Linked DNA regions of Lonchura striata. The protein of the gene in region 1 interacts with the protein of each later gene in a pairwise test. Links are inferred from orthologs where the notes say so. Each region holds a gene or a part of one and is shown on either strand. Other genes may lie near its edges. The genes, in order: UBE2N, AMFR, LRSAM1 and MID1.

What was found.
Region 2: the proteins of UBE2N (region 1) and AMFR interact in a two-hybrid assay, tested with the Homo sapiens proteins (2 studies listed by BioGRID and IntAct). The link is inferred for Lonchura striata from reciprocal best matches to the Homo sapiens genes UBE2N and AMFR.
Region 3: the proteins of UBE2N (region 1) and LRSAM1 interact in binary tests that used the Homo sapiens proteins (3 or more experiments, as listed by UniProt). The link is inferred for Lonchura striata from reciprocal best matches to the Homo sapiens genes UBE2N and LRSAM1.
Region 4: the proteins of UBE2N (region 1) and MID1 interact in a two-hybrid assay, tested with the Homo sapiens proteins (2 studies listed by BioGRID and IntAct). The link is inferred for Lonchura striata from reciprocal best matches to the Homo sapiens genes UBE2N and MID1.

Annotation. Positions count from the first base shown.
Region 1 is NC_134607.1:53,630,281-53,638,131, forward strand, and holds the start of UBE2N (ubiquitin-conjugating enzyme E2 N), read right to left. Parts: upstream 3,014-7,851; 5' UTR 2,917-3,013; coding exon 2,887-2,916; intron 1-2,886. UniProt on the Homo sapiens protein: The UBE2V1-UBE2N and UBE2V2-UBE2N heterodimers catalyze the synthesis of non-canonical 'Lys-63'-linked polyubiquitin chains. This type of polyubiquitination does not lead to protein degradation by the proteasome.
Region 2 is NC_134615.1:15,556,583-15,564,172, reverse strand, and holds the start of AMFR (E3 ubiquitin-protein ligase AMFR), read left to right. Parts: upstream 1-4,590; 5' UTR 4,591-4,678; coding exon 4,679-4,900; intron 4,901-6,306; coding exon 6,307-6,399; intron 6,400-7,590. Other genes in the region: NUDT21 (cleavage and polyadenylation specificity factor subunit 5), read left to right, coding at 151-240, 900-975, 1,370-1,484, 2,718-2,739. UniProt on the Homo sapiens protein: E3 ubiquitin-protein ligase that mediates the polyubiquitination of lysine and cysteine residues on target proteins, such as CD3D, CYP3A4, CFTR, INSIG1, SOAT2/ACAT2 and APOB for proteasomal degradation.
Region 3 is NC_134624.1:4,617,214-4,624,851, forward strand, and holds the start of LRSAM1 (E3 ubiquitin-protein ligase LRSAM1), read left to right. Parts: upstream 1-4,638; 5' UTR 4,639-4,685; intron 4,686-7,638. Other genes in the region: RPL12 (large ribosomal subunit protein uL11), read right to left, coding at 1,615-1,620, 1,709-1,821, 2,219-2,305, 2,898-2,979, 3,609-3,707, 3,851-3,924, 3,996-4,032.
Region 4 is NC_134604.1:97,753,010-97,760,453, reverse strand, and holds the start of MID1 (E3 ubiquitin-protein ligase Midline-1), read left to right. Parts: upstream 1-4,431; 5' UTR 4,432-4,742; intron 4,743-7,444. UniProt on the Homo sapiens protein: Has E3 ubiquitin ligase activity towards IGBP1, promoting its monoubiquitination, which results in deprotection of the catalytic subunit of protein phosphatase PP2A, and its subsequent degradation by polyubiquitination.

The DNA.
Region 1 (7,851 bases):
AGTAACACATTTTATCTTACATTAATAGTTTTTTTGTCATGACAATTCTCATAGGATCCCTGGTGTTGAACTACTGAAGAAAACAAAAATACCTCTTCTCTATTCAAAAGATACAATGTTTTCCAATTCTGATTACGTCTTTTAAGATTCAAAACTACATCAATGTCTTCTACTCACCATTTGTGATATGCTAACAGTCATAATTCTAAAGCAAGTCACCTTTTGAACTTACAGACCATTCCCACACACACTTTATTAAAATCCGTTTCTAAGTAATCTGAGGACAGTAAATTGGGAATAATTCTGTATCTTCTGCAACAACTGCTTTAAAACACCCATACTGTCACCTTTTCATTGAATTTGAAGTATTGGAAACATAAACAGAGTCCTTGCCACTGCAAGGAAAACTCCTGCTCTCCTCCTGGGCTGGATGACAGCCTGCACATAGCAAAGACGCAGGCTGAGGAGTACAGGGCTGCAAGTCAACCTGAGAGCCCGGCCATCTGCCAGCAGTCGCTCAAGACAGGGAATGCCAACTGCATTTTGAGCAGCCAGCCAGGCTCAGGACTTTATCACAGTCCAAATACAATCTCCTAGCCCCAAGAAGCCATTGATGGTCTCTCCTGGATGACAACACAAAGGGTGCATGTGGCAAAAAGGGAGAAGATCTTTTCCTAAAAGTAACCTAAGCCATGTATTTATCGTGAAATTTATTACTGTGCATAGCATGAAGATTTCATTTTATTTACTGGAGTTATTTTAACATTACTCAGCTCTTTCCTATCCTGATCTTTCAAATTCTCATTAGCAACTGAGTTCACTCCCTACCCACCCTCTAAGGCATCCAGAATAGGAAATTAAACACTAAAGTCAAAATTGGCATGATAGAAAAGATCAAAACAATTCTCACTCAAGACTCCCAAAGATTTAAGCAGGAGTATTTCTGGGTCCACACCTCTGCAGCTGTGGTATTTCAAGATATGACTTTGCACATTTTTGAGGCTCTAGTAACTAGTCAGACTCAAGTCCTAGATCATACTCACATGTGGCAACCTAAGGCACGCACAGCACAGCAGCTGAAGAGCTGATCATCTAACACAACCAAGCCAAGATTTAATAACTCTAGACTGGCTGCAGACAACTTTCCAATGCACACATGCAAACACCCAACCCATCATATGTCTAAGGGGGCTCCTTCACAGAAAATCTGGAGTTTCTAAGACTCTCTTTTGCTCTCCACCTTTCTTCTCCAGGAGGAAAACAAACAGTCCCACATCACCACATATCTTTGAAGTGAGTTGTGTAAATTGCGCTAGCGTTTTTTTCTAGAAAAGCATGAAGAAAACAAAAGTACCAGGAACAAAATTTATGCACCAACATAAGTGAGTGCACTTCTTGGTTGTATTCTGGGGATCTGTCAAAAGCAATGAAAATTTAATGCAGACACCAGCCTCATGACTGAGCTCTTACTGCAACTCTGTGATAAATACCAGTTCCACTGTATTATGAATCACTGTTCCCTATCACACCTGAAATACTTCAGATTAGCATGGTGTGCACTCAGACAGCTGGATAGGCATCAAAATCAGTAAGATTTGTCTTCTTTATTTTTACTACTTACTTACAATTCTGAGCACTAATTGTAGTTTAGCTCCATTTCACAGAAGACAAACACTACTGCCTTATTTTACCTCATCATCTCTATCACCTACTTGATAACTTGACTTCTTGGACAAAAATAATGTATTTTTTTGTCCACTATTTAAAACTTTATAAATTAATTTATTTACAGTGTTTACCAACTGAGAGAGCTTCAGAGTATTAAAAACTAACATCCATTCACTGTAACAGGCTATGAGGATGCTGTCATTTCCTGTGAGGGCTAACCAACCTTAATGGAATCACTTAATAACTTTTATAAAGAGAATGATCATCCATTCAGGGGCTTCAATTCACACCATTACAAATCGAGTAGGAGACAGCAGCACAGCAGGAGCAACCACGTGAGCTACAGGACCGAGCTGTTTGATAGCTTGCAATACAGCTACCAATAAGTGTCTCCAAATTACTCAAATCTTATGCTGGAACCGAATTCGGAGGATCTGCTGAAAATACCCCAAAGTTAAGAGCCCTTGCAAAGCTTGGCAAATCACAGTCGAAACATGATACCGAAGCACCAGCACGACACGTTGATAGAGTAAGGGCCGACAGCTCCGAGCAAACGTAGCAGTAACCGGGCTGTCCCAGCGTGGACCACTGGTGCCAATGTCCCGACGCACACACAGCTGTGGCCAGGTTTAACTGCTCGCTGTGGCTCGTCCCTCACCGCACACTAGGAAGCCGAGCACGGCGCCACCGCCGCCCTCCCCCGGGCCAAGCACGCCTAGAGCTGTGCCGGGAAGCCGGGGCCTGGCGGAAGCCCCCAGTGAGGAGCCGCTGGGTCGGCGGAAGACAGCGGGGGATGTGCCCGGTGTCCTTCGAGCTCCGGACCCCGAAGGCTGTGCAGACAGCAGCGCTCGGCAGCAGCGGGGGCCGTGGGGCGCCGCCGCCGCCCGAGCAATCCCCGCGAAGGGCGCGGGCCCGCGCCCGCCGGGAGGGCCCGGCCGCTCCCGCCGCCCGCGCGCGCCGACACGGCGCGAGGGGAGTCCCGCGGCGGCGGCGGGAAGCGGCGGGGGCGCGGGCGGGACGGCAGCGAGGAGCCCCTCGCCCGGCAGGGGCGGGAGGAGGCCGGGGAGGCGGCCCTGCCCTAGCGCGGCCCAGCTCCCGGGCACCGGAAGCGGCGCCCGGCGCGGCGCTGCGCTCGGCCGCGGACCCCGGCCCGGCGCGGTCGGCGCGCCCGGCCGGCATGGCGGAGCGGCGCGCGGCGGGCAGGGCGCGCGGCCGTACCTTGATGATCCTGCGGGGCAGCCCGGCCATCTTGTCTCGTCGGTGCAGGCTCGGGGCGCGCCTCCGCTCGGGGCGCGCGCACGGCCGGAAAGACCCGCGCCGCGCTTCCTGCGGCACCGCCCTGCGCGCGTGGCGCCGGGAAACGTAGGATACAGGGATGGGCGTGTGGGGTCCGCGCCCGGCATGGGCGCTGAGGAGCTGCCGTCAGCGGGGCCGTGCGCTGTCAGCGCCAAGCGTCTGTTCGTCCCTGACTTTTAGCTTCTGTGAGTGTTCCTAAACCTGTCTCAAAGCTACCTTAGAACATCAGTGCCTAAAACACAAGGAACTACTGGCAGAGTCTAGCAAAGGGCCACAAAGGTGATGAGAGGTTTGGCACATCTCTCTTAACGAGGAGAGTCTGAGGGAGCTGGGCCTGTTTAGTCTAGAGAAGAAAAGACTGAGAAGGAATCTCATCAATACATAAAAATATTTCAGCGGTGGGTATCAAGAGAATAGTGCCAGACTTTTCAGTGGTGCCCAGCAGCAGGACAAAGAGCAATGGCCATAAACTAAAACACAAGAAGTTCTATCTCAACATGAGGAAGAACTTTATGTTGAGGGTGACAAAGCACTGGAAGATGCTGTCCGGAGGGGTTGTGGAATCTCCCTCTCTGGAGATACTCAAAACCCACCTGGACATGTTGCTGTATCACTTGCTCCTGGTGACCCTGCCTGGGCAGGGAAGGTGGAAATAGGATCTTCCCTAACAGTTCTGTGATCTTTGTCTTAATAACACCTAGTTAGCAAACCTTTGTTCTTTTTCAGCAGAAAGAGGAATATTGTAAACATTGCAGTATAATTATTGCACGAGCATACTAGGACATTACTACGGATGTATAGTAATAGTAACATCTAAGAATGTATGTCATTATTTATGGGAAGTAAAAGCACAGAAAGATGAACTAATTTCCCATAGGTTGCTCAGCAGGTCAGCAGCACAGCAAAGAATAGAACCCTATGTACATATGAGTCCCTATCAAGTGTTTTCTTCCGGTTTAAAACAGGACATAATTTCTGTGTACTCTGGTAGAAAGTAAAGTTCTCTGGCAATTGCAAATCTAGGCGAAAGACTCCATGACTCCAACACTTATTTAGATTTCAAAGCATCTTCATTGGTCCATACCCTCAAGACAAAAGTTATTGGAAAATGATGTATTTTGTTACAGTGCATACTGAATTACTTCTCTTTCTTTGTTTCTGCCTTCACCCCTTTTTTTTTTTTTCTCTTTTACACTTCTCCCAGAATATTCCATTAAAGGACTGGCATACATGGAAGAAAGCATGGGCCAAAAGTTTCTTGAAAGTCTGTAAGACACAACAACTGAGTGGAACACAGTTGGCTCAAATAAATGCTCATTGGTGTTGAATTCAGTGTCTCCTTTCAAGTGTTGTAGACCAGGAATCTTGCTTCAGCTGGAAGTTACAGCTGAAGCAAGAAGTTAAGTCAGCTGAAGTTGCAGTTAAGTCAATCTGGCTTATTATGTTTTGACAGCTTTTGTTGCACAAGTGGTTTGTCACATCCTGGAAGTTTTCATTATACATCTCCTTCTGGCTTCTTTTATGAAAGGGCTTTTGAAGTCCACTTGATCAGGAGATGGCAGTGAACAAATACATTGATTTCTGTTGTCATATCTACAAAAATTTAGATTGTTCCCCTAAGCTATTTTAGCTCCTAGAAGGACTGCTGCAGAGATCCGAGTATCCATATTGGGCTAGAAAAGCCACCCAAACTGGCTACTCCAGAATACCAACTGTAGACTGGGGACCTGTAGTCCCCATTCAAATGGGCATTCATTCCTACAGCCCAACTCCACCAAGGCCTGCCTCCACAGTGCGGGTTATTGACTGTATAGTTTCATGTCAAGGGCACACCACTTTTTAGTTGCTTTGCTGCTGCCCTCCTCCTCTGCCACACACTGCTGTTCCCTGAGCTCACACCATGATCTCTCACCTAAGACAAGCTGATCAAAAGCACAAGTGGTTCCTGGGTGAGCAGTGAGCTGCTGTGAACCACAGGCAGCCACACAGCTCTACAGGTGAAGCATAAACAAGATTGGAACCCATGCCTGAGGGTGTGAGAAAAGGACTTTCAATAGTCCCCTGCACTAGGGATAGTGTGGAAGCACATACTTGAGGTTAAGGTAGACCAAGCAGCTGAGTCAACCTCTTAAAAACAGGACTTCTTTCTTCCCTTTCCTACCTCACTCCTTCTACCTTCCTTCCTTACACATAGCATTTTCCCCACTGTTCATTCTGTTGAGCTGATGCAATACTAACTTGGCAGAAAAACAGCCATTCAGTGTAGTCTTTTGCTGGACTGGTGAATTGGTTTGTCTTACACTGGGGTTTGGCAAGCCCCAGACAACAAAAGGTAATAGAAGTGGGAGTGAAGTTGTATGCTGTAGTATCCATGAGTAATTAATTTAGCTTTAGATGCCCCTCAGCTTTTAGGAGAAGCTGCAGGAAGCACTGAGGTCCAGCTCCCTTTCCCTGCTCTACATTCCTGATCCAGTCTTGTCATTGCTATGTATCTACTGGAGTATAGGGGGTTGTTGTTGGGTTTTTGGGTTTTTTTTTTTGCTAAGTTACCCTTCTGACCAGCTCACTGAGGCATCAGAGCTGGCACAAGAGAAGCAGCTGGAAACCGAGTGAGAAGGTGCAGGTGTAGGACCATCCCCTCCCGCAGCAGTGACCTGTTCTGTTGGCTGAGCTGATCTTATCCCACTGCACCACTACAAAAGCCAGGATGGACAACACAATCCTCCTCCCACAAATCTGTGATTATCACATCATTGCCGGAATTACAGTGGTTCCAAGAACAAAGTTAGGCAACCACCTTATTCACCAACAAAGTGTTCTATAATGCTACTATAGGCAGGGAAGGTAAAGAAGTAATTGCAATTAGGCAATTAATTAATACACCCAGAACAATTCAATACAGCTGCTGACCATCTTCCTGTCACAGCTTCTGCTGTCATCAAATTACCAGACTTACTCACTGAGTGGGTGCATCCAGGCCAGCTGAGCCTGTGGCTGACTAATCTTATTTCCTCCTCCTAGCCCTCTTTGCAATCTTATAGAAGTTTTACTGTAATTACAACTCTCTTTCAAATGCCAGATTCTTTATTTTTGCATAAAAGCATTTCTATATTTTTGCCAAATATTGTAGAAAATCTGTTCTACAGCAAAAATCAGATGTATGTATGTACACATACGGAATGAATATTCACAGTAATATCAAAATTTTATATTAAAAATGTTCAGTAAATCCCAGAGTAATTCCACAAGAGTTGCTATGATGCCTATGTACAAAGGAGGAAACTAAGCCACAGAAGTGCAGTGTTTTTCATTCAGCAGTAATTTAAAGTGTCATTGGACAATTTCAGAATTATCTAAACTGGTAGGACTGGGTGAAACTGTACTGAGAGAAGAAAAAAACACCACTAGTTATATGTTTTACCAACTTAGAACATCAAAATGGGATCCTGTGGGAACCCCAGCCTTGTTTTGGGGCCACATGTGGTGGTGAAATTCCTCCTCCAACCCGTGCTTCCAAAGAAAAACTCCGCAGGCTTAGCTGTTCGGTCTCAAGGCAGTTTATTGCTAGTTATCTAACAGATTATGTTCTTGGACTGCAGCTATTTGATCAGTGGCCTGGGTAGAGGCACACACACACCCTGACATCCTCTCTATCTGCTGTCTTCTTCGTCTCTCCCTCCGCCCAGGGTTGCTGCTATCTTTTATAAGATATATTACGTATAACATGTTTACAATTATTCCCCAATACCTACTACCTACGTTGCCAAGTGTTTTTCTACTCTAAACCAATCTGTGAGTGCCAACATCACCAAGAACATGGAGGTAAGGAAGAAGAAGGAAGAAGGATGGGATCAGCCCACTTTCCTCCATCTTAGAACTTCTGACCCCCATGTACAAAGTGAAAACCCCCCTGTACATGTGCTAAAACCCCCCTGTACAATACTAAAAAAATTTCCCCTCTACTTCGTAACTACTTATACTATACTATCTAACCTTTTGTGATTGCTTGTTCCACCTCCAAAGTTGGTAATTCATTCCATGGCTCAAACTCAAAATCACAGTTGTTTTTCAGCTGTCTGCCAGGGTCTAGAATGCTTCTGACCAAGGCCTGGAACCTCTAAAAATGTCTGAGAGACATTTTGAGTTCCCACAGGATCCTAGTAAGAGCCTTCATTGTAGAGAATAATATTTGATTTTTTTCATTAAGTGGCTGCTTGAATAGAGACAATATTGTTTCCTTGAACTATGGTAATCAACAGGAACACAAAATATTTAGGCTACATATGACTGCTGAGGCACTGTCATTTTGTCATATGTTATTTACAGTTGCAGCTGCCTCCTTATCAGTAACAGGATGGACCAGTGATGAGATGGTGTGAGATATGCTAAAGAATAAAGAGGGCCTACTGACATAAGCCTTGATATTTTCTCTGGGTGTTTATAGACTGACTTAAAACAGAAATCTGTCTGTCTACAACATAACTTGAGAAAACTTGAGAATTAAGACCATAACTAAACTATAGTGTCTCATTAGAAATTTGATTTCTACATTTATAGGAATAACCTCATAGAAATTAAGATACAGCATTTCAGGAGTGGAGACCCATCCATCCCCATTGTTAAGACACAACTTTGCAATGAAACACATCCATCCATTCACAAATTCAGGTCCACTTCTACGTATGATTGTGTAGTACCTTGCCAGTTTAAAAGGAAATAAAAGAAGCCAAATGCTTATTCCTAGGAATATTTTGAAACATTGGTTTCTATGAAAATAATAAATGTGTATTATATTCAGTTTGCCAATGATCTAGCCTGAATTATTTTCCTAAGAAACAATTTCCTAAATATGCTACTGCAGGAAAAAGAGCTACAACAGCCAGGTCC
Region 2 (7,590 bases), on another chromosome or scaffold:
TACTCTACAGTTCTATTGAAAGCTGTCTCAGAGCAGTTATGAACTACATCAGACATATATTGCAGTAAGTCTTTCTGTTTCTAGTATGTGTTTAATAAAAGAATTTCCTTGAGGTAGTTTGAGGTCTGATTAGTACTAGATTTTTGATAGATACTGGGTCGTCAGGATGGTGTTCAGCAAGACTGGGTGATTGATGACTGCATTGGCAACTGGTGGAGACCAAACTTTGAACCTCCACAGGTGAGTACTCCCGTGGGCTTCCATCTTCTTTGGTCAAGTTCTGTCTGTACTTCTAAAAGCCTTCAACCTTCCAGATGGGCTTCTTGAGTACCTGCTGCATGAGCAATTTGTTTTTCTGGGTTTTGTCTATTTCATCTCCTTTCTATGACTGAAGAGAAACTACAGCCTTTTTTTTTAATGGAAATTCCTGTCTTCCTTCTCACACCTGTCCTGATGGATGAGAAACCACTAGATGTAGTAGCTTCCAGTTCTACATTGAGACATATGCACCATTTATATTCCTTTTGTAGCCACAATGGAGATTCTTGTACTGCTGCTTGTGGAACATGCCCTAGTCTCACTACCCTATTTCTAAGGGCTTTAATATTGAAAATCTTTGTTTAGTTTGCTTAGTTTGCTTTTATGCATTTCTGTTTTATTGGGTTGTTTTAACTGCTTATGATATTGATGCCACTTTAGAGCCTGTCAATAGTTGTGACAGCAACAGCATTCCTTTCCTAAGTACTTTCTTATGAAAATGGTTTTATTTGATGCCATGAAAGAATAATATATGACACACTGAAAACTTGTACAGGGCTTGATAATTTATAAAGTAGCATTTAAGATTACATAGTATTTTCAAAGCTCTGTACAACTGTTTTTTACCATTTTTCTTCTAGTATCCATATATCCCAGCTCATATTACAAAGCCAAAAGAACACAAAAAGCTATTTTTGGTCCAGCTTCAAGAAAAGGGTAAGTGTTTGTTTGGATCAAAGGGTTGTATTTGTAACAATATTTAAATGCCTGCATTTCACTCAAGGAACACAAAGTTGTGATTGTGTATGTTGTGGTATGTTATACCAAGATGTGTATGCTTGCAGTTGTTTGTGGTTGATCACTAACAAAGTTAAATGCTGGTATTTGTTTTGAAGGTAGATGATCCTTTGAACATGACTTCCTAGTAAATTTTTATTCCTGCTTGCATCAGTCTGTGTACAGGATGTGAATCCCATATTTAACTAAAAAAGCAATAAACCTGGTTGAGTGCTCTATGTAGTGAACTTGTTTTGAGGTCTGTGGGGAATGATGATCCCTTGGCTGAATGTGTGCTGGTTTTTTTGATTCATCAACTTGTATTTGTTTTTAGCTTTGTTTGCAGTCCCCAAAAATTACAAGCTGGTTGCTGCACCACTGTTTGAGCTCTATGACAACGCACCAGGATATGGACCTATTATTTCCAGCCTTCCTCAACTTTTGAGCAGGTATGTTGTATTTGTATAGTGGCTCTGGGAACATGGTTTCCTGTGGGACACCAGAGCAAAGCAAGGTGCTACAGAAACCAACTTGAAAAGGTGGCATCTATCCCAAAGATTCTGCTTCAGATGAACTGCATGGACACTTTTGAGGCACTGATCACAACTGGCTAGCACCAAAGTCCTACCTAGCAGCTGTAGTTAAGGAACACATGGAAGATGTGAGGATGAGGCTGTGCACAGACTGAGGAGCAGCTTCTTGTAGTTGTTGGAGACAGCTGGAGAGTTAAAGCCAGGATGTAAATTTGAAGCACTGAGTTAGGTATGCATATTATCACAGCTTTGTGCTGGTTAAATGTGGTGGGTTTTTTTACACTCTTTAGTAGAGCTAATGAAGTGTAGCATCTTTATGACACAAATATCTGTAGGGACAGCTGTATTTTTTCCTTTCTCTTGGAATGTATACCATGCTTTGACTTTATTACCTGGGAATGGCTGTGGCTTGTCTCTCCAGAGCTCACTGGTCTCTTACTTGAGAGCATGTTCAGGCATACTAGGAGTCCCACAGCCTGCCAGCTCTTCCTCAGGGAAGTAGTTCTGTCACCTACCTACTATGATGAAAAAAGTATGTTAGCACTGGTCTTGCACATAATCTTATTTCCTGCTGAGTATTTTTCTCTCTAGCCCAAATTTTGGCTTCCCCTCCTCTAAAGACAGCAGGTATTTCCTCTTGAGTACCAGCCAAACTGTCATGCAGGTTGGGTAGTGGTGCAACAGACACATGCAAAGGCTGGGCACCTGGAAGCTGAGATGGATTGCTTGCTTCCACAGTTATTTATGAAACTTAGCTGGGAAAAATTCTCTCTTCAGTATGTTTGTGTGTTCCCCTTGGAACATGTAAGGTTGGTCTAGTAGCAGAAGTGCTGCAAAAGAGTTGCTGATGGAGGAATGTAACTCTCACTGTGATTTATGTATCTGTGACCTTGTTTTAGGACATGAAATGTTAATAGTTAGTTCTTCTCAAACCATAAGAGACAGTTGTGCAATGCTAGTGTAGGATTGGCTGTTAAAAATGATATATATACTGCTATACTGTAAAGCTGTCTTATGAAAAAATGTACTTTTGTCCTGTCAGGTGGAGGCTTATCCAGAGCAAAAACAAAACATTTGCTTATTCATTCAAAAATGCCCTTAAAAAAAAGAATCAAAATTCCTCACTTGGTATAATCCTTTTAATTTTAGGTTCAACTTTATTTACAACTGAGTTCCTATATACCTGAAGACTCCAGTAGAAGAAGCCGTCTCTGTGAGCACAGCTTTGAACTGTAGAGAAACGAATATGTGTGACACAAGGATTTTTTGAAGTCTTTCTGTTCCTGAAGACCACTAAACATTCTAGGGTATGAACAGAGAAGTGAATTTCAACTGTTTAGCTAGAGAGATGGCAATGGGCTACCAGTGTTATAATCCCTTATCATTGTAATACTCACCAATTTTTTGTTTTGTACAACATTAAACAATATGGTTAAGATTCAGTTTGTCTTGGGTTTGGTTTGCTTTTTGTTGTGTTTTTTTTTAGGTTTTTTGTTTGTTTGTTTGGTTTGTTTTTCCTTCTGTTTATTAGTTCTTTTATTTTTCCTTATTGTCTCTTAGATGCATATTTTAAGCTTTATTATTTTCTTCAGGAATACAGATGATCTTGGAATGAGGAGGAGCTAAGCCATTCAGGGCCCATTCAGATGCTGGGATCTTTATCCGTGAGAAGGGAATATCCCTAGGATCAGGGAGAAATGAAATAGCTTAAGTGGATTCAATATTGTTTTAAGTCTAACTTGGAGACCAGAACTGCTTTTTTGAGGGAGAATGAGTACTTAAAGGCAAGCGTAGCCTTTACCTTTTTTACCAGAACCGATCGGTTTGTAACAGGGCTTGGAGGAGATGCAGCATGCATCTGTTCCTTCAGTGCCCCCTTGAGACAGTAACAACCCCAAAAATTCTGTTGGACTGGTCTGAGCTGCAGTTAAAATTGGGAAAGTGAGGTTAATTTTGTATATTTTTTCTTAGCTATGGGACAGAATTAGGGTCATGCTGAAACACTTAACCAATGCCACATGCAAGTGGTTCCATGTTATGCTGTCCTGTGCCGTCTCATCCTGCAAAAGATACCCACTTTTGCTTTTTCTCAACATTTCAGTTTCTTGTAGGCAGTAAATATCAATCTTTCTACTTCTGGGGATTTTACATGCTTGGCTAAACATAAAGTCCATTTGGATGTGACACTTCACAGTGCTTTTAGTCTTCCATAATTTTGCTTAATGAATGAGTCTTTGAAAGATTTGTTTCCAAGTTCTGCCTGTGATCAGAAGATGCACTGTTGCTTGTGCACTGTCCTCTTTTATGAAGGCAGGGTTGGAGAGCACCTGCTGCCAAGAGAACCAAATCTTGCCAAAGTGCTTGCTTCTGCTGCCATCTGCACTGGTAAGCAACGTACAGAACAATCCTGACAGCTTGGTGGTCAAATTGAAGCTGTGCAGTATGGCAAATGTACTGCAAAATGCTGGGAGAGTGCAAGGGCTGTTCACTTTGGTCCTATGGAAGGAAGGCCCAGACAGATGGTGAGTAGAATATATGGTTTCTCAGCTACCAGCTAGGGGAAATACAGGTAGCAGGAGAGTGGAAAACAGAATCTTTTTGCCTGTGGAAGTAAGAAAAGGCAGGTGGAAGTTTGGAAGTCAGATGCTGCAAGAACAAGGAGCAGAGTGCAGCTTTTGAGCCTTGGCACTTAAGAGCACCTTTCACCTTACCACACGGTAGTTTGCGAGACTAATTCTTGTTCCAGGCTGTCAGTGGAAGGGCGCTGCTCCTGCAGTCTCTACGCTCTCTCTGCCACCCTGCCTGTAGGTTTGGGGGCTCCCGAAGGCCCCTCTGCTTCCCCCCGGCGCGGCTCCGGCGGTGCGGCCGCTGTCCCGGGCGCGGGCGGCGCGGGGCAGGGCCGGGCCGGTGGAAGCGCCGCCCCGGCCGTGACTCAGCGCGCGGGGTGACGGGCGGACGCGGCGCCCGGAGCCGGGGCGGAGGGCTCGGGCCCGGTCTGTTTCCTTTATCCAGTGGGGGCGTCTCGCCCGGCCCCGGGGAGGGGCGGCGGGGCGGGCGTTAAGCCGGGGGAGCGCGCCGAGCCGGGGCCGGGCGTTCGCGAGGGCTCCGCGATGCCGCTGCTGTTCCTGGAGCGCTTCCCCTGGCCCAGCCTCCGCACCTACACGGCGCTCAGCGCCCTGGCGCTGCTGGCCGCCGGCCTCAGCGCCTACCGCGCCCTCAGCCAGGCGCCCGGCGGGGCGGCGGGCACCGAGCTGGCCGAGCCGCAGCGCTGCGCCGGGCCGCGGGCCCTGGACGTCGCCTACTACCTGCTCTCCGACAGCCTCTGCGTCTGGGTGAGCCCGGGGCGGCGGCGGGGCCTGCGGGCCTGCGGGGCTGGCGGCGGCCTCTGGGCACCTCCCCGCGGCCGGGGGCAGGTGGGCGGGCCCGGGGGGAGTTTCGTTATTGTTGTTTGAAAACTGCTCGCGGAATAGAGAAGGGGGCTCGGCTGGCTTTCCCCGGGCCGCCTCCGCAGCCGCTTCCCTTCCTGCCTGGCTGCGGTGGGCAGCGTTAGAGCCGAGTTCAGCCCGCGGCTTGTGCTGCTCTCCCCGAGCGCCTCCGCTCGTCCTGCCCGGGGGGCTGGGAGAAGCTGTCGGGAGCGTTTGCCGCGGTCCCAAGCGCTCAGCTTCGCCAAGCGCTGCCCGACCTGCTCTGCCAGAAATCAGAGTAAGGGGCTGTCAGGTACTCGAGCCTTGCTGCCTTTGTTTATTTCCTTTTAAATAGCACTGAACGTTTGGTAGGTAAGAGGAAACATTCTCACCGTTTAAGGAAAAGAAAAAAGAGAAAATAATTTTCTGTACTTTTTAAAACCCAGACCTCATAATGGCTCATGATTTTTGGCTCACTGATTTGCAGTTGAAATAAAGGCTCAACAAGGCGATATTGGATACCTTGCTGAGTTGTTGCTGTTGAACTTTTCATCTGTCTGTCACTCAAAGGTGGCAGTAGTTGGACATCCACTTCACAGCATACTTACTTGACCGAGGTGCTGGTTTTTAATATGCCATATATATTCATCCTGTTGAAAATTCGTCTTGCAGCCTTAAGAATCCTGGACAAGTGATGTCCTTTGGAAATGACAGGGTGAAGCTTCTTCATCATCTACCTTCTAGCCTTTTTAGTGTCCTGCTTAGGTCAAAAGTTAATTACAAATCCTTTTGTCAAATATGAGATAGCAGTTTTCCCAGGCCCATGTGCTCTGCTTCTTGCTACTTTGCTGTAAAGAAGTTTCCTAAGAAAGCCTCAAGCCGTGTTATTACGGAAGGGATATGTGCTATTCAGCATATTTTGAGGCAACCTCTGAATCCTCTTACTGTAACAACAGATTCAAACTGGATTTTTCTCATCTGCCTTATGTTAAACAAAAGGAGCATCTTGGTGATCTCTAAGCTTTGTCCCCATGTTCTTTTATGAAATTTTCTAATCTGTATGAAATAATTTGTTGTGAAGTGGTAGAGCAGTTTGTTGGCTTTACTGCTGTATCAAACTGAATGTGTTAGTATTTCTAGAAAAAAAAAGCTAAGACTTATCAGCTACTTCATGTGTCTTGGAAGAGGCCAGGCTTAAATTTCATCAAAAGAAAAGGCAACTAATACTGTTCTGTGAACAATGACAGGTTTTGTTAGACTTGTTCATTCCCCTTCTCTCACTTCTTCTAAATAGGGCAAAAGTATTTGTCACTGACTGCTTTATTTCTTTCCAGGTATTAGTGAACACTGCCTGCTGTTTTCTGATGCTGGTTGCTAAGCTAATCCAGTATATGGTGTTTGGTCCTCTTCGTGTCAGTGAGAGGCAGGTGAGACAGCAAACAAGGAAACTGAAACATAACAAAGTCACATGGTGTGATTTTCTATATGGAATTGCTGAAACTGCACAAGAAAAATAAATTTTACAATGGATGTCTTACCATTTGGTTAGCTAGCATATCCACAGCCACATGCTTCCGGTTTATTTTGAAGGGAATTTTTCCTGTTGTATTTTATAAGCCCCCAGTCAGCTTGAAAAATCCTGTGTCTTTAATGAGCTCTGTTAGATTTCTTACAAGCACACCTCACTTCAAAACACTTGTAATGTGTTCTTCTCTATTCTGCCTGTACCTGGCAGCACTTCTCCGTTGCATTTTGTAGCTGTCAGCACTGGCAGTTTTGAGTTCCCTCTTTTGTACCATAACTGCTGGAGAAGTGCTTTCCAGCCTCATACACTGAGTAGATGGTTTATCAGCCTGCAGGTTTAAGAGGCAGTAGGCAAGAAAATCCCCAGAGAAAGGAGGTGAGCAGGACAGAAAACAGAGGATGTTTAGTCCTGCTCTTGTCTATGTGAGAATGTTTGTAAAAATTCAGCAAAGGAACTGTGAAAGCAGAGTTTTTAAAAACAGGATCCTGCAGAAGATGAAAGCAGCAGCAAGACCTTGAATAGTATCTCTATATATATATTTTTAAAGCAAGGCAAATGCATAAGTTGCTCATGTAAATGCAGGAGCAGTGGTTTGGAGTGTGTTCACATATTAAAAAAAAAGTCTGTAAAAAGAGTTCCATAGGAGGAATCAGTCCATGATGATTTTTGGCATGCAGAACTGAGGCACACAAAGCCTCATTAATAACTGTGAATCCCTCAAAGCCTATTGCATTTGTAATTCATACCTTGTAGAGGCTCTGAGTGGTGTATTAAAACCAAGACACTATCAAACTGCAATGGGCCCGACTTTTTCTGCAGTCCATGTTGACTGTAAGGATGTGGAATTTTAACTGGTGATGGTTTCCAGGATGTTCTTTACCCTCTTAAAAACTGAAGTGAGAAGCAGTAGCAGTGTGGGTCCATTTGTGTTTAGACAGTGGGAGTTTGCCTCAGTTGTCATGTAAAGGAAAGCTGCTTATTAATACTGGCGAGCCCGAAACAGCAGCATCTTTAAGGAACTCAGGGCCTGTTTTAACTAAACTCCTGGTGATTTCATCATATACTTTAACAAAACATTTTGTTTCATAAATTT
Region 3 (7,638 bases), on another chromosome or scaffold:
TGCCCTCAGGCAGCATGGGAAAGGAAAGTTACAGGTCCTGTCCCAGGAGAACTCCCAGTAAGGAAAAGGAATCATTTTTCCAACTGTTTCCAGCACTGCCAAGTGGAGGGAAACCCACACAGGACAGCCCCGACAGCACGAGCTCCTGAGACTGGGGGTTCACACCAGACTGGATTTCCAACACCGGGGGCACAGAGATTTTAACGGAGTTTAAAGCAGAGCTGCTGCTGGAAGGGGCTGCAGCCTCTGCCAGGCTGCCCTGCCTCAGGCACCACAGGCGTTTGTGCAGCTTTGTTGTGGAATCCCGGGCAAACCTCAGCTGGAAGGGACCCAACCCTCCCCTGGCATCGCAGCCAGGCTGGCCTGGGGTGAGGATGGGGATCCCACTGCCTCTGCAGCCCCCTCAGCCTGTGGCCACTTGTCACACAAGGGTTTTCTCCCCCTGTACTTTTTCAGAATTTGTGCCACACAAACCCTTGGAGAGATGGGGATTGGGCAGGTTTCAGAGCAGGAGGAGCCACACCTGACCTATTCCAGAAGCATCCAAATAACTCCCAGCTTGAAACATTGGTAACATGGTTAATTCCAACAAAGGAACCAGAGAATCACAGAATTCCTGAGCTGTGAGGGGCCCACCAGGATCGCCCAGCCCCTGTCCCTACCCCCCAAAATCCCACCCTGGGCATCCCTGGCAGCGCTGGCCAAAGGCTCCTGGAGCTCCGGCAGCCTCGGGGCCGTGCCCATTCCCTGGGCAGCCTGGGCAGTGCCAGCACCTCTGGGTGAAGAACCTTTCCCTGATATGCAGTCGTTCCCTCAGCATGGCAAATCCCTGAATTTCACCTGTATTTTTTTTCCTGGCTGCCGCAGAGAAAGGCCCTACAATCAGCTGGGGGGAAACAGATGGAAGTGCAGAGCCACAAACTGTCCTGGTTTTGACTCCATCAGCTGCATGTGGAGCTGGGGACAGGGAGAGAGGGGCCAGCACAGGCCTGGAGCCCAGGCAGAGCTGCCCAAGGCACAGCCACACCAGGCAAGGACAGACACATCCCTGGGCTCATGGGATTCCCATGGCTGGGAATAGCCAGGTCAGGCTTTGCTCAGTTTTACTTTAGGAGTGAGGAACGTGCAGCTCCCCTCCACACTGACAGGGATAGTGACATGTCCTGGACAATGGGTATCTGCCAAGGCTCGTGGATTTGATAAAAATGGGTTTTTTTGATCATGCCTTTCCCATGTCACTACAGCCCCACTTAAGGCCCTGTGGCCCTCAAGTCACCGGGGCAGTGACCCAAATTTCATCAGGGAGCAAAGGACACAAATGGATCTCATTTTCAATAAACAAAGCTAAACCTTCTGCTCATTCCTCACCCCATTATTTAACAACCACACTTCCATCCCTGCCCAAATCCCTCTGGAACAGACATGGACACATCCCAGCAAAGGTGCTGAATTTCCAGAAGACAGGGAGAGATTCCCCAAAGCAAAATTCACAGCATGGGACAGGGACAAATCAAACCAACAAGTATCTGCAGACAACTGGGTCTTTATTTTAGTATTTAAAGTGCTACAAAAAATTGAAGGAGCCTTCATGTGGCAACTTCCTTTTCTGCAGTCTTAGCTCTGTTGGAAGAAGCAAACACAGCTCATTAGTGGAGTCTTTCATTAATTAGATATTGTACAGCAATTTGAGTCAGAGCTGGGTACTTACAGCTGGGCACTCGATGGCACCACTGTTGATATCATCGATGATGTCGTGGGGGTGTCTCCCATCAATGCTGCAGCCCACGGACTGGGCAGTGCCAAGGATCTCCTTGATGGTCCCTGAAGCAGCAGACACAGCTTGTCACTGCTCTCCATGGGAAAACATCTGAGGAGCTTACCTGGAGCAGCCTGGGCCAGGCAAGGTGTCCCTGCCCATGGCAAGGGGTGCAACTCAACAAGCTTTAAGGTCCCTCACAACCCAAACCAGTGTGGATTCTGACAGCTGCTCTCAGCTGTCCCTCTTCCTTCAGGGGTTTGCAGGCTGGAGCCTCAGGGCTCAGCAAGGAACATCAACTCCCTCAACCAGACCTCACACCCTGAACTCCCCGAAGAACACACTGCAAACCCCCTGTGCTCCTCCCCAGGTGCTGGGGCTGCCTGCTCCCTGCAGCAGAGCTCAGTTCAGCCCTCCCTGGCTGGCAGTGGAGCATTCCCTGCAGCCCAGCCCTGGACTCACCCGAGAGCTCCCGGGCCAGGGAGCGGTGCCGCATCTGCCGCGCGATGTTCACGATCTCGTCGAAGGTGACGCTGCCGCTGTGCTTAACTGGGAGGGAACAGCAGCAGTGAGGCACCTGGGCACTGCCAGCTCCCCCTTTCCCCTGGGAGCACCATTCCCAGCACTCGGATCACATGGAGAGCTGGGGGTTTGCAGCTCCAGCAGGGCTGCTGTCAGTGCTGCTGCCCCCAGACTGCAGCACCCAATTACCCCCAACTCCTCTAAGCTGGCATTTCTGCAGCTCCCCTGGCTGTGCCAGGCCCTGTGCTACAGCACAGTCATGGGGCAGGGGCCTGTTCTACCCCAGCTTTGCCCAGAGCAGCTGTGGCTGCCCCTGGATCCCTGGCAGTGCCCAAGGCCAGGCTGGACAGGGCTGGGAGCACCTGGGACAGTGGGAGGTGTCCCTGCCATGGCAGGGGTGGCACTGATGGGCTTTTAAATCCCTCCCAACTCCATACTCTCCTCAAACACAGAGCGCAGCTGATATGCATCTATTGGTACCCTGGCACTGCAGGGATGCCCAAAACAGCCTCATGTCCCCTATTTACCAGTTTGTGCTGAATAATCCCAGAGAAACGTACTGGTATTCCCCTTCTTTTACACCCAAAATATTGAGAATCAAACACAGGGGAACACTTACTGTTCTTCTGCTTCTTCCTGTCACGAGGTGGCTCCTTCAGAGCTTTGATAATCAGAGCAGAGGCAGAAGGAACAACCTCTATCTAAATACAAAAAAATTAATTTCCCCCGCCATTCTACATTACTATGGAGACACTCAATCAACCTGTTCATTATCTCAGCAAAGGTAATTGCCAGCAGTGTGGATTTGATCAGTTCCCTCGTACTCCAGGTTTTTTTGTGCTGCAGGAATCTGTTCCCAGGTTTTCGGCACAGGCCTCCCCACAAGCAGGAGAGGACTGCTTCCTGCCTGGGGCTTCCTCTCAGCTCACCACTGGAATGTACCAGCCACAGACAACAGAACAGGTACGGTGGCAGGTGGCTACAGAAGTTGACAAGATTTTAAATTATTTATTTCTATGCTGCTTTAAGGACTTTTTTTTTTGCTGGTTCAATGTTCCGGAAAAAAAAAACCTATCTGCAACAGGATGGAAGTTGAATTTTCTCCTCCTGCCTGACAAAGCCCCATGGCTCCACACACATCCCCCCACCCGCGTTTTAAGGTCTTCGCGGAAGACCCCCACACGCCCCATGTGTGGCACTCATTTTATCCACCTCGGAAGGATGAAGGGCTGAGTGGACCCTGCCGGGATCCGGGCCGGTGGCTGGAGCAGGCGGAGCCCGGCTGGGCTCCACGCCTGCAGCACCGGCCGGCCCCTGCGGCGTGCGGTACCTGCGCTTGCCTGTTCTGGATCGTCAGCTTCACCGTGATCCGCAGCCCCTTCCAGTCGCCCGTGGCCTTGGCGATGTCATCGCCCACCTTCTTGGGGGACTGAGGGGCGACACACAGGTCACACACGGCTCGGGTTAAAGCCGAGAGCCCCAGCGCTGCCCCGGCTGCTTCCCAGCGCCTTCCAACATGTTTCACCCTCCCTGGCCTCCTCCTCCCCAGCTCTCCCCGTCCCCAGCACGTACCAGCCCCAGCGGTCCGATCTTGGGGGCCAGCGCGGACGTGGCTCCGACCTCGCCGCCGGTGCAGCGCAGGTAAACTGCGGGGACAGCGCCGTCAGCCGCGCCCCGCGGCCCCCGCCCGCCTCCCGGCCCGCTGCCCGCCACCTACCCACTTTGATCTCGTTGGGATCGAACTTGGGCGGCATCGCGGCGGCGGATGGCGGCTATGGAGGCGGATGGAGGCGGATGGAGGCGGATGGAGGCGGATGGAGGCCGGAACCCAGGCCTTCTCGAGGCAGCCGAAAGACAGCCTGGGATGCGCGGGCCTAAGATATACCCGCCGAGATCTCGCGAGAGGCCAGGGAAATATGAATACCAGCCGAGATCTCGCGAGAGGTGGCGAGCGGGCCGTGGCGGCATCTCTGTAGATGTGCGTTTGTATTTCTATATATCAATCGATAGATAGATAGATAGATAGATAGATAGATAGATAGATAGATAGATAGATAGATAGATAGATAGATAGATAGATGATAGATAGATAGCAAAATGTGGACCATATGGAAGGGTGGCAAGGCACTGGCAGGGGCTGCCCAGGGCACCGGTGCAGTCCCGGCCCCCGAAGGTGTCCAAGGAAGGGCTGGCCGCGGCGCTCAGCGCTCTGCGCTGGGGCGGAGGCGGGGATCAGTCCCGGGCTGGGCTCGGTGATCCCGGGGATTTTTTCCCATCCCGGAGAATTCCCGGATTCCGGGCGGCGCGGTCCTCCGGCCGCCAGGGGGCGCTGCGGGCGGGGCGGGGCGCTCGCGGGTGCCGCTGGTCACGTGAGGCGGCGGTGAGGCGGCGATGGCGGCGCCGAGCGGTGAGCGGGGCTGGGCGGGGGGATTCGCTGTGGGACCCGCTGTGGGGCCCGCTGTGAGGCCCGCTGGGGGGCCCGCTGTGGGACTCACTGTGGAGCCCGCTGTGGGACCCGCTAGTGGGACTCGCTGTGGGACTCGCTGTGGGGGCCGCTGTGGGACCCGCTGTGACACTTGCTGTAGGACCCGCTGTGGCACTTGCTGTGGGACCCGCTGTGGGACCCGCTGTGGGGCCCGCTGTGGGACCCGCTGTGAGACCCGCTGTGGGACCCGCTGTGACACTTGCTGTAGGACCCGCTGTGGCACTTGCTGTGGAGCCCGCTGTGGCACTTGCTGTAGGACCCGCTGTGGGACCCGCTGTGAGACCCACTGAGGGACCCGCTGTGGGACCCGCTGTGAGACCCACTGAGGGACCCGCTGTGGGACCCGCTGTGGGACCCGCTGTGGAACTCGCTGTGGGACCCGCTGTGGGACCCGCTGTGGGACTCGCTGTGGGACCCGCTGTGGCACTTGCTGTAGGACCCGCTGTGGGACCCGCTGTGGAGCCCGCTGTGGGATCCGCTGTGAGACCCGCTGTGGGACTCACTGTGGGGCGCTGGGGCTGCGCCGGGCCGGCACCGGGCACCGCGGGTGCTCCTCGGAAGGGCTCCGGAGCAGGCGGCGCCCGGAGCTGCGCCGTGTCCGCGCGGAGCGGGCGCTGCCCTCGCTCACTGTCGCTGCTCTCCCCAGGTGTCGGGCCGCTGCCCGAGGGCTGCGAGCCAAAATCCCGACAGGGTCGACTCAGCCCTCCATCCTTCCGAGGTTCTGGGCACTCGGGCATGGAACGGCGCGGTAATGGATGAGGGAAGGGTAAAGAAGATGAGGAGCTTGGAAGTTGTGTAACCCTGGGAGGGGGATCCAGAGAGAAGAAGAGAAGAGTAGTGATGGTGAGGGAAAGGAAGGACTGAGAGGCTGAGCCCTGGTGAAGACAAGCGGAGATTCGTTCCAGGCATTGCCAGGGCAGGCTGAGGCTGTGGCAGCTCCAGCACAGAGAGCAGACGAAGCAGGACAACGAATTCCAGAGCTGCCGTTCAGCTGCTGCCTGCTCTGGGCCTGTTCCAGTGCCTGCAGGGCTGGCTGTGGCAGCCTGTCGGACAGCCAGGGCAGCCTGTGGCTGCCTGGTGACACCTCTGTCCCCAGGGCCAGGCAGCATCTTCAGGAGCCCACCCAGACGCTGGCTCACTGCTGCCTCACTGTGCTCCTGGGTGTGTTTTCCCAGACTAAATAAAACATCTCTTCTTTCCACACCCTCACCTTGTCTCATTACAGTGCCCAAATGGATTTATGGTGTCCAGAATGTTTTGAAAACTGAGGCTGCTCCCAGAGCTGTGTTGTTGTGTTTGAATTACAGTTAGTAAAATGAAATGTTTGATTTTCTTTTGCTGTCATCACCCCAACAGCTGCAGACTGGGAAACACCCAGAAAACATTGCTGTGCTCTTCCTGAGTGTGTGGCTACTCCTCAGGCAGAGCTGGTGTCTGCAGGGAGCAGGGGGATCAGGACTTGGAGTCTGTGGGTGCTCACTGCCTGCAGGGAGCAGGGGGATCAGGATTTGGGGTCTGTGGGTGCTCACTGCCTGCAGGGAGCAGGGGGATCAGGATTTGGGGTCTGTGGGTGCTCACTGCCTGCAGGGTGGCTGCTGGCCTGGGCACTTACAGGCAGTTATTTCAGTAATTTAATAAATAAAAATTAAAATTACATCATATAATGGTCACATGCCAAGGGCCTTTTTCATTCCTGGCTGCTGAGTTTGATGTGTCTTCACTAAAGCAAATTTCCACTTTTGAAAGCTGTTCAATCCATTTAACAAGTCTCTGATCCTTCATCTTGTGATGCCTGGAACAATTATTTTCCTGTTCACTGTCTGCCCTTCAACCTTCACATCTTTATCCATTTCCTTGGGTGAAAAGTGATGATTTCCCACTGTCCCCATGACCAATGAGATCTGGCTGGAATAGGGAAAAGTGTAGTGGGACAAGGGGATGCAGAAATGTTCAGCAGAGTTGAACATGGTCATCCATTCAAGGATATTTTATTGCACCTGTATTTTAAGGCACTTTTGCCTTCTGCTTTCTTATCTTGAAATCTCCTTTTGTTTGTGCCTCTGATGTCTTGCCCTTGATTCTGCCCTGTGTTTCCCTGACAGTCAGCTTCCCTTCTTGTTCAATTTGAGTTCTGGCTGTCACCTTCCCCCCTGGGAGCTAGGTCAGAGCAGCATTTCAATAATTAATAATCAATAACAGTGTGACCTGGTTAAAGAGGCAGAAATTGGGCTGGCAGGGACAGAGCCACAGAACTGCTGGAGATGAGTTTGTAGCCACCTCCTGCCGTGGCCCATGGCTTGTCCCAGTGAGTGCTGTGACAGCAGGACAGTGACTCAGGGTGCTCTGCCTCCTTGTTCCTGCGGTGAAAGCAAGAGAGATGAATTATACTGAATTATGTTACTTTCACACTGAGATTTATCTCTGTAAAGATTTGACAGAGTTTTTGGAAGAGCTCTCCCTGCTCAGGGAACATCCCTGGCTGGATCCTGTCAGTACCTCCTCCTCAGGAGCCTTTGAGGCCAGTTTGCAGACAAAGCTGGCAGAGAACATTTTATGTGCAACCCCTGAGCCCTGAGTGTAGCTGTGCCAGTTGCTGCTCCACTGGTGAAGCAGTGCCTCTTTTGTGCTGATTTGTAATTGCTTAGGAATTGTAAGCAGTGTTTTAAAAAGTCACTGCAAGTGTTTTAAATGTTACTGCCCATTCAGGGCTCGCTGTTGCCCTCCTGCCCTTCTCTAACTCCCAGTCTCACCTCCCAGCCAGGTCCCTCTGGAGTCCCTGTCCAGGTGCAGCCCCAGCTCAGGCTCTTTCTGCTTTGCCCATTTGTGCCCCCTGGTCCTGTGCAGCCACAGATAAACCCCTTTTTCTCCTTGATGT
Region 4 (7,444 bases), on another chromosome or scaffold:
AAGGTGAGGAGGCATTTTTCCTGGCTGTACAAGAGATATACCCCACTGTCCAAAATTGCAGTGTTGGTTTATCTTTGACCAGCATGCCACATCTGCCAAAGCCTCTGAACAGACACTCAGAATGTGTTTTCTTGCCAAATTTACAGAGAACTTCTTTGTTGCTCCTTGTATCTTATTGCTGAAGGAGTAATGAAGATTTAGTGTTGTGCAGGCCCCATGCTGTTCTTTTACTTTGCTGTTTTAATTTTGCTCTTCTATTTAACTTTAGAAAGACTGACATATTTACTGAAGTTTGCAGGCTGATGCACCAGCATTGGCTGATGCACTTTGAAGTTCCAAGCTAGACATCCTCAGCTTCACACACACCCCTAATGTAAACCCAGCTGCACTGCTGAATCCTTGCTTTCATCTACTCTGGTACAAAAGTGAGAGACAGTTTAGGCTGAACCCATGGAGATCAAACCCCAGGGATATGCTATTAGATAAGCCTTAACCAAGTGAAACTTTGACTTCGGTAACATTCTTGCTCAAGTGACTCTAATCATCAGAGTTTTTAATTTCTTTCCCTTTTTACCCAATTATGGGTTTTTTACTGTGTTCTCTCATTGCTACTTCTTCCTTCCTTCTTGCCTAGTCATTCCTCTTCCAGTTTGCAGAGTTGGTATCCCACTGCTTTCTCAGAAGAAAAATCTGTCCAAGTAGATAAAGAATAGCCCTGAAATTCGACATATATGTGTTATATGTGCATCAATCATTAAACAACATTAATATTGAATAGTAAACTTTTAAAATTTACTGACTGTGTTAAGGAGCTCATTAAAAAGTGTACTCTTAGATCATCTACTGACTATGGAACTCATATTCCTCAATCAAATCCTTAAAAGTCAGTATCTTTAATATGTGCATTTTCTTCTGTTTATAAAGCTATGTCATCTCCAGATGATCCAGATGATCTTTAAGGTCCCTTCCAACTTGTTCTATGATTCCATTTTCTACACTTGCCTTTAAGAATTACTGTGAGTTTAGGGTAAAAAAAAAAAATCAAAGAGCTGCAGTAGATTGGACTAATCAGAGTGCAGTCACCAGTGAGTCTCAAAGAGCTTAGGAATCTTTAGTTTTGCTAGAATCTTTGCAGTGCAGTTGTCTGCACCACTCTGCTTGTAGGAAAGATTCTTTGAACTGTTCTTATGATTGCTATTAAAAGTGTATGGCTGTTATCCAAATGAAAGCCTTATCCAAGAGCCTTATGCTTTTTGTTAATCCTAGAAACATGGAAAGTAGTAAATATTGTGCAAAAAAAAAGTGCTTTGGACAGATTATACAGATAAGTGGACATGGTTGTGAGCAAGCAGAGAAAAACTTATGGAGCAGAGTGTGCAAACCTGCTGTGATTTCCTAAAACTCAGATGCCTTCAGATATTTATCATGACTCTGAAAGCTACAAGAATGAGAAAAATGAGCTCTTCCAAAATTTTGGTGCCTGTAGCTTTTGTCCCATTGTGAATTTCTTGTTCCTCTACGCCAGCTTCCAAGTACAAAGGTGGCTGCATTTTTCATGCTTCATTCTTCCTTTTGATCGGTAGAGCTCATCTCATTTGTGCATAGCACAGTTAACCACCTCCTGGATGGTGCAAACATTTTTATTTAGAGCTAATGTATTTATATCAATTGGTCTGTGAAGAGGCCTTATTGTTTCTAAAATGTTTAAGGTACTTCCTTCTTTACAATGGGAATGCTCTCAGATTGTTAGGGAGAAGCAAAGAAACAATGGTGGAAGTTTAGAAGCTGTAATTGGGACATAAATGGTTCACAAGTACATCTTTTAAAACCTCTTTTCAAAGGCTGAAATTCATACCACATGACTTTCACCATGCTAGTAGCCCCTAAGTCCCAGAATGGGGTCACCTAAACCAAGAGTGTAATTTTAAGCTGGTTCTTAGGAAAAAAAAAACAAACCCACAAAACAAACAAAAAAAAATCCCACACCCAAACAAACAACAAAAACAAACCAACAAACCAACCCCTAAAAATTTTACTTGAATTGATGAAACTCGATAATTGCTGATATTACATTGCATAAATCTGTCAGATTTTGACTTTTTTTTGGAATATCAATAAATTTCTGTCTTTTGTTTGATTATCTTTCAGTATCATAAGTTGAGTTCTACCTCACAGATAGTCTAATTCTATTCAAATAAAAATATTTGTAAATATGGAAACACTTAAATACTGTTCTTTTGAAACAAAGTGCATCTTTTTGAAAAGACCATACAATTTTTTGGAAGAATGAACAGGAGCTCATCTTTTTTGACAGATTGTGAATATCAAATCTCAAACTAGAAATAATAGAAACATAATTTGTGTTACAAATACATACCATATCAAGCTTAATCTCAAACATGGCCCTGGTTTCAGAAATTGTCTTCTGGAGCATGAAAATCACTGGCCAAGGGTGAACTATTCTGGACAGAGACTTTGTTGAGGCAAGTCATTTGGCCCCAGTATCCACCTGTAAAATCAGAGGTCTGATGCCCTCCAGTATTCATGATGAACCCATCAGATCAGATGAATAATCAGAAAGAAATACTGAAACATATTAACAACCTGTCCTCTGCTCTAAGGAAATCAGAGGCCAACTACAGGCATTAGGATGTTAATGAGATCAATGTGGAGGTGGAGCCTTGCATTTCAGAGTTCATACACCATCTTCCTTTTTCAACCTTTTTAATGGAAAGGTAATTTCTTCATGAAGAGTTCTGTGAAATCTGGGAGGATTTTTATGTGAAATATCTTGTAAAAGGATTTCTGAATTCATTTTAGCAGAGAATCTGCTTTCAAATACTGAATTTGCAGACACCAACTTTAAGATATATGAATCCTCTGATGCTTTATTATGTCTTTTAGGTAATAAATAAAAGACATCACATTGCAATTGTTTGCCTCAGATTACTGCAGTGAGACCTTTGTCCAGTAGAGAATTGTTCAAGATTCATGGTTCAATAATTGAATTAGCACAGTTAAGAAATAATTCACAAAAGTCACAGTCAAAGTGTTCTTTGTTTATAAATGAAACAAACAAAATTCTTTCTTTCCTTCTTTCTTTCCTTCTTTCTTTCCTTCTTTCTTTCCTTCTTTCTTTCCTTCTTTCTTTCCTTCTTTCTTTCCTTTGTTCTCTGGTGATGTTGTTATTTTCTTAAACTAAAATATGTTTGAGATAAACAATTTGGATTAATTCCTCCTCTTGAAGCCTTTTCCTTCTGCCCTAACACCCGAACTCCAAGAAAAGTGGAAACGGATTCCCTTAAATTCACATTTTTGAGGTAGGAAAATGTGTTCCAGGCATTTATTGCATGTTTGGTTCACTGTTAAAATGACTCTGTATGGTGGAAGATTCTCCTCCTGTCTCCTCCTTCAGCTAAGCAATAATGGGGGGACAGGACTGTGAAGTCACAACCCACATTGTGAAAAGAGATCGCATCCATCAAACTGTCACCTTGGTTTTCTCTCCAGGGTCACAGAGGAACAAAGTCAGCTTGTGTCAGGTTGAAATAGCATTGGTAAGTGTTAGTGTGTGTGAAGCTGGTGGCTTGAAGTCTATTTATTTTGTTTGAAAGGCTCAAACAGCATGCTGCCAAGCAGAAGAACAGGCAGGAGGAAGTCTCCTTATAAATTATTACTGGAAGGCTCGCAGCCAACATTTAAGATGTGAAATTATGCCATCTGCTTTTCTAGGTCTTTGATTTACTTTGTGGCAGCTGCCTGTTTCTGAGTACTTTGCATCTTGTGGAGCAGTAAAACTTGTGCTAAGAACTATTATGACAACTGTGTTTCTTTAACAAAGATTTAATACATTCTTGAAAAGCAGAGGCTATGCAGGGATGTTATCTCAATATCTGTCTCATGTTTTCAAGATAATTTGTACTAAAAAAATGTTGTCTCTTTTTACATAAACTGGAAATGAAGATAGAATCCTTCTCTTATTGTGAAAAATGCAATTGCTTGTTTTGATTGTAGCTATCAGAAGCATTTCAGGGAGGCACCAGTGTTTTTTTTAATTCGGTGCCTCATAATGCTATTGATTTTGTGTCTGTTGGGATCTCTTTTTTTATAATTTTGGTATTGATTTTCTGGGGCAACATCTTGGTTGGGTTTTTACCCTGTTTGAAATATTTAAGATTTATTTGCGTGTTCTTTGTGAAAAAGAAATATCTAAGGCCCAACAAGAGCATTAGGAAGTCACGTGGCTAATTTTAAAATAAGAAAAAAAGCCTAATTATTTCAGTGCAGGCTAACTGAGATGCATGCCGGGGACTCTGGCGAGCACCCAGGGGTGTTCTCATTTGAGAAGAGAGTGGCTGGGAGGGCGATGGCTGGAGAGGGGCACTTTTCCGTGCCCGGGGCGCTGCGCCCCAGCGCCTGGCGCGCTGTGGCTGCGCTCCCCGGGGATGCGGCGGGGCCGGGGCTGAGCGCCGGCAGCATCCCGCTTCCCCCACCCCCGGAGCATCGCTCCTGCTGGAGGCGTTCGGTGCGGCTGCCTTTTCCTGTGCGAGGATTAGGGACTGGGAGAATGGCTTTGTGAGGAAGCTCGGAGAGTGGGAGCTGAAGAGAGGCTGAACAGAGGGGCCGAAAGACTTTAGCCTTTCATAGTTCTTTCAGTCAGTTCATTCTCAGAGACCAATTGCATGCGATACGGCAGCTGGGGGTTTTGTTTTCCTTTCAGCTGTGTACTGTAGGAGAAGCTGGTAAGGTTATTTTTTTTTTTTTTTCCTTGTTCTACTGTTCCGTGGTGCTATTGTAATTGCTTTATCGAAGCGAGTGTCTGGTGAGGAAGGGAAGTTGGTTAATGATGCTGAGGGTCCCTGCATTGTCTCTGCTTTGTGCAGCTGCAGTTTGGGGAGAGGCACTGTTTACAGTGCTGGGGCTGCTTTCTGCTGAACAACTTTGCTGTTGTTTTTCCAAAGTTGTTTGAGCCTTTCTTTTGGCAAAGTTAGGAAAATAAGCAAATAAACAGACTTGGCTCTTTGGAAATGGGTAAATTTTTAGAAGCTGCAATTTGTTGAAAAATCTGTTCTGCCTAATTCTTAGTTTCAGATGTTCTTGCTTTGATGTTATCAGATCTGTTACTTTGCTGAATCAACTCCAAAACTGGGTTTTATGTGAGAGCCTTTCTTCACAAATCTTTTCATGTTTTCAGCAGGGCCAAGATAAATTGATAGCCAAAGAAAACAAAACAAAAATGTATCTGTGGAAGGTGAGAATACTTGAGGAAAGAATAAATTCTAGGGGAATTCAGGAATTTAAAAAAATAAATGAAGAAGCCTTAATTCTTGGCAGTAATTTTTAGCAAAATATCAGTGTAATGGGAAGCATGTGCTTAGGCATAGACTAGAAATACTCTTTCAGAAGATCCAAGATGTACAGGTGCATATCCTGTCTAACTGCACCCTTCCAAAGGAAAAGTTAATATATTTATCAACTTAAAGGAAAAAAAAAAAAAAAGTTAAACCAGAAGATCCTGGCTATCCTGTTCCTTTTGTTATTTCTAGAATAGTAACTTGTGTTGCTCAGAATCTTTTATTTCCTTTCATATTATCGTGGGAAAGTTTAGCTTGAATTGGTCGGACATACGTGAGCGCAGCTTGGGGTACACCATGCCTATTCCACAGGCAGGCTCTGAAAATCCTGCCTCTGACTCAAATGAATTGTAAAGACCAAAATTGCCAACAAAAGTTTCTTTTGTGGCCATTCAAAAATCACAAACAAGGTAAGAGGGAATGATTGACAACAGTTACGTTACTGATTGACAGAAAACCAAAAACTTGGTCTGTGACTTACTATGTTAGTTTTTCAGGAAGTGTTGACCTTTTTCACTATTATTCTGTTCTTTCTGATGGACTATTCCCAACTCCTCTATTGAGGCTAGAATGTCTATCTAAAATGTGTCTTTGTAATTACTGCCTATAGTCTGTATGTCTCTTTACAATGATATGCTTATTTGTTGATACCGAAACAAAATTGAGAAATGCATTGCAATCAGACCTCCATGAAAGAATGTGTATCTTTTATATGCCTCACATGCTTAGCTATTGATTTCAGCTACAGATTTCACTCCTATGAAGTAATGAAGTGCCCCATCCAAATCCTGCAGATTTATACTCAGTTCTAGCTGCTAATAATGGAAGGCCTAAGGATATCAATGTGGTTACTCATGTGAGTAAAGATTTGGAGACTCATTTCCCATTCATGAATGAAATGGTTTGGGAAACGCACAGTTACTATGGTTCTCTTTTGGCTTAAAAACAAAAATCTCCACAAAAACAACCACTAATGAGATCTGCTAGAGGGACCCAAGGATAGAAAAATTCAGTGCTTTAACATAAGAATGTAGTATTAATATGAGAATGTGACAGTAGTGTTTTAGGGGTTGTAATAAAATTTTCCCTCTCTCTAGCTTATTAACAGCTTTAGAAGGAAGGGAAAGTTAATTAATCTCTTTGTGTTGCACCACTAGATATGGCCATGACTTTTGAAATACCACCACAACTATGAGATACTCCTTACATTAAAAATAAAATTTAATTTAGGGTGGTCTTCATCATGTACTTGTACCTATTCTTGTGATAAGTGTCAGTCCTAGCAAGTGACAATAAACTGGTATTTCTGGTTAGGCTTCTCCTGGTTGTTTGTAGGCAAAGGTACAATATCTCCAGGGTACAAGGTTTATTTCACATCCTTGGTTTCACTGCAAGTGAACCAGAAGCAGGATGTCCTCTTTGTATATACCAGTTAAAGATCCTCAGTTCTCTAAAAGAGAAATTACTCTGGTTAAGTGTTTCTGAACTGTTCAACAGCATCCTTTAGTTTACAGAGATGAAAGAGATGTATTTGCTGCTACTTCTTTCCTAGTTTTTATGAATTCTAAATTTCCAAACTGTATTTTGGAGAAAAAACAGGCATCTAACTTAACAGAACTCACACCTGATTTTATAGCTCTGCATGGTAAAGGAACTATACTAAAATTATTTTGCCAAACAGTCCCAAAATTACCTGTCTGAAAGAGAGAATTTTCTATCCCATCAATTTTTAAAAGCAGAGATACATGGACTTTTATATGGCCATTATTGTTGGAAAAGGGCCTTGATCACCACCAACATCACATGCATAAAGAAGTAAATCTTGGCTATAAATGTCTTTTATTAAGTTAAAGCAGAACAAAATTCCAAAGGTAGAGGGAAACGCATAAGCAAACGTAACATTCAGTTATAAAATTAGAGCAATCTAAATATGTTTCAGCAGTCATTAGCTATCTGCTGTTTGTTACAACTGAAAGGTCTGTGCAGATCAAAACAGTAATATTGCTTCTCAAAACACATAAAAAATTGTGGAGGTGGACCTGCCACAGTGGTGTTGTGCTGGAGTTTGGTGATTTTTTGGTGAGTTTTTT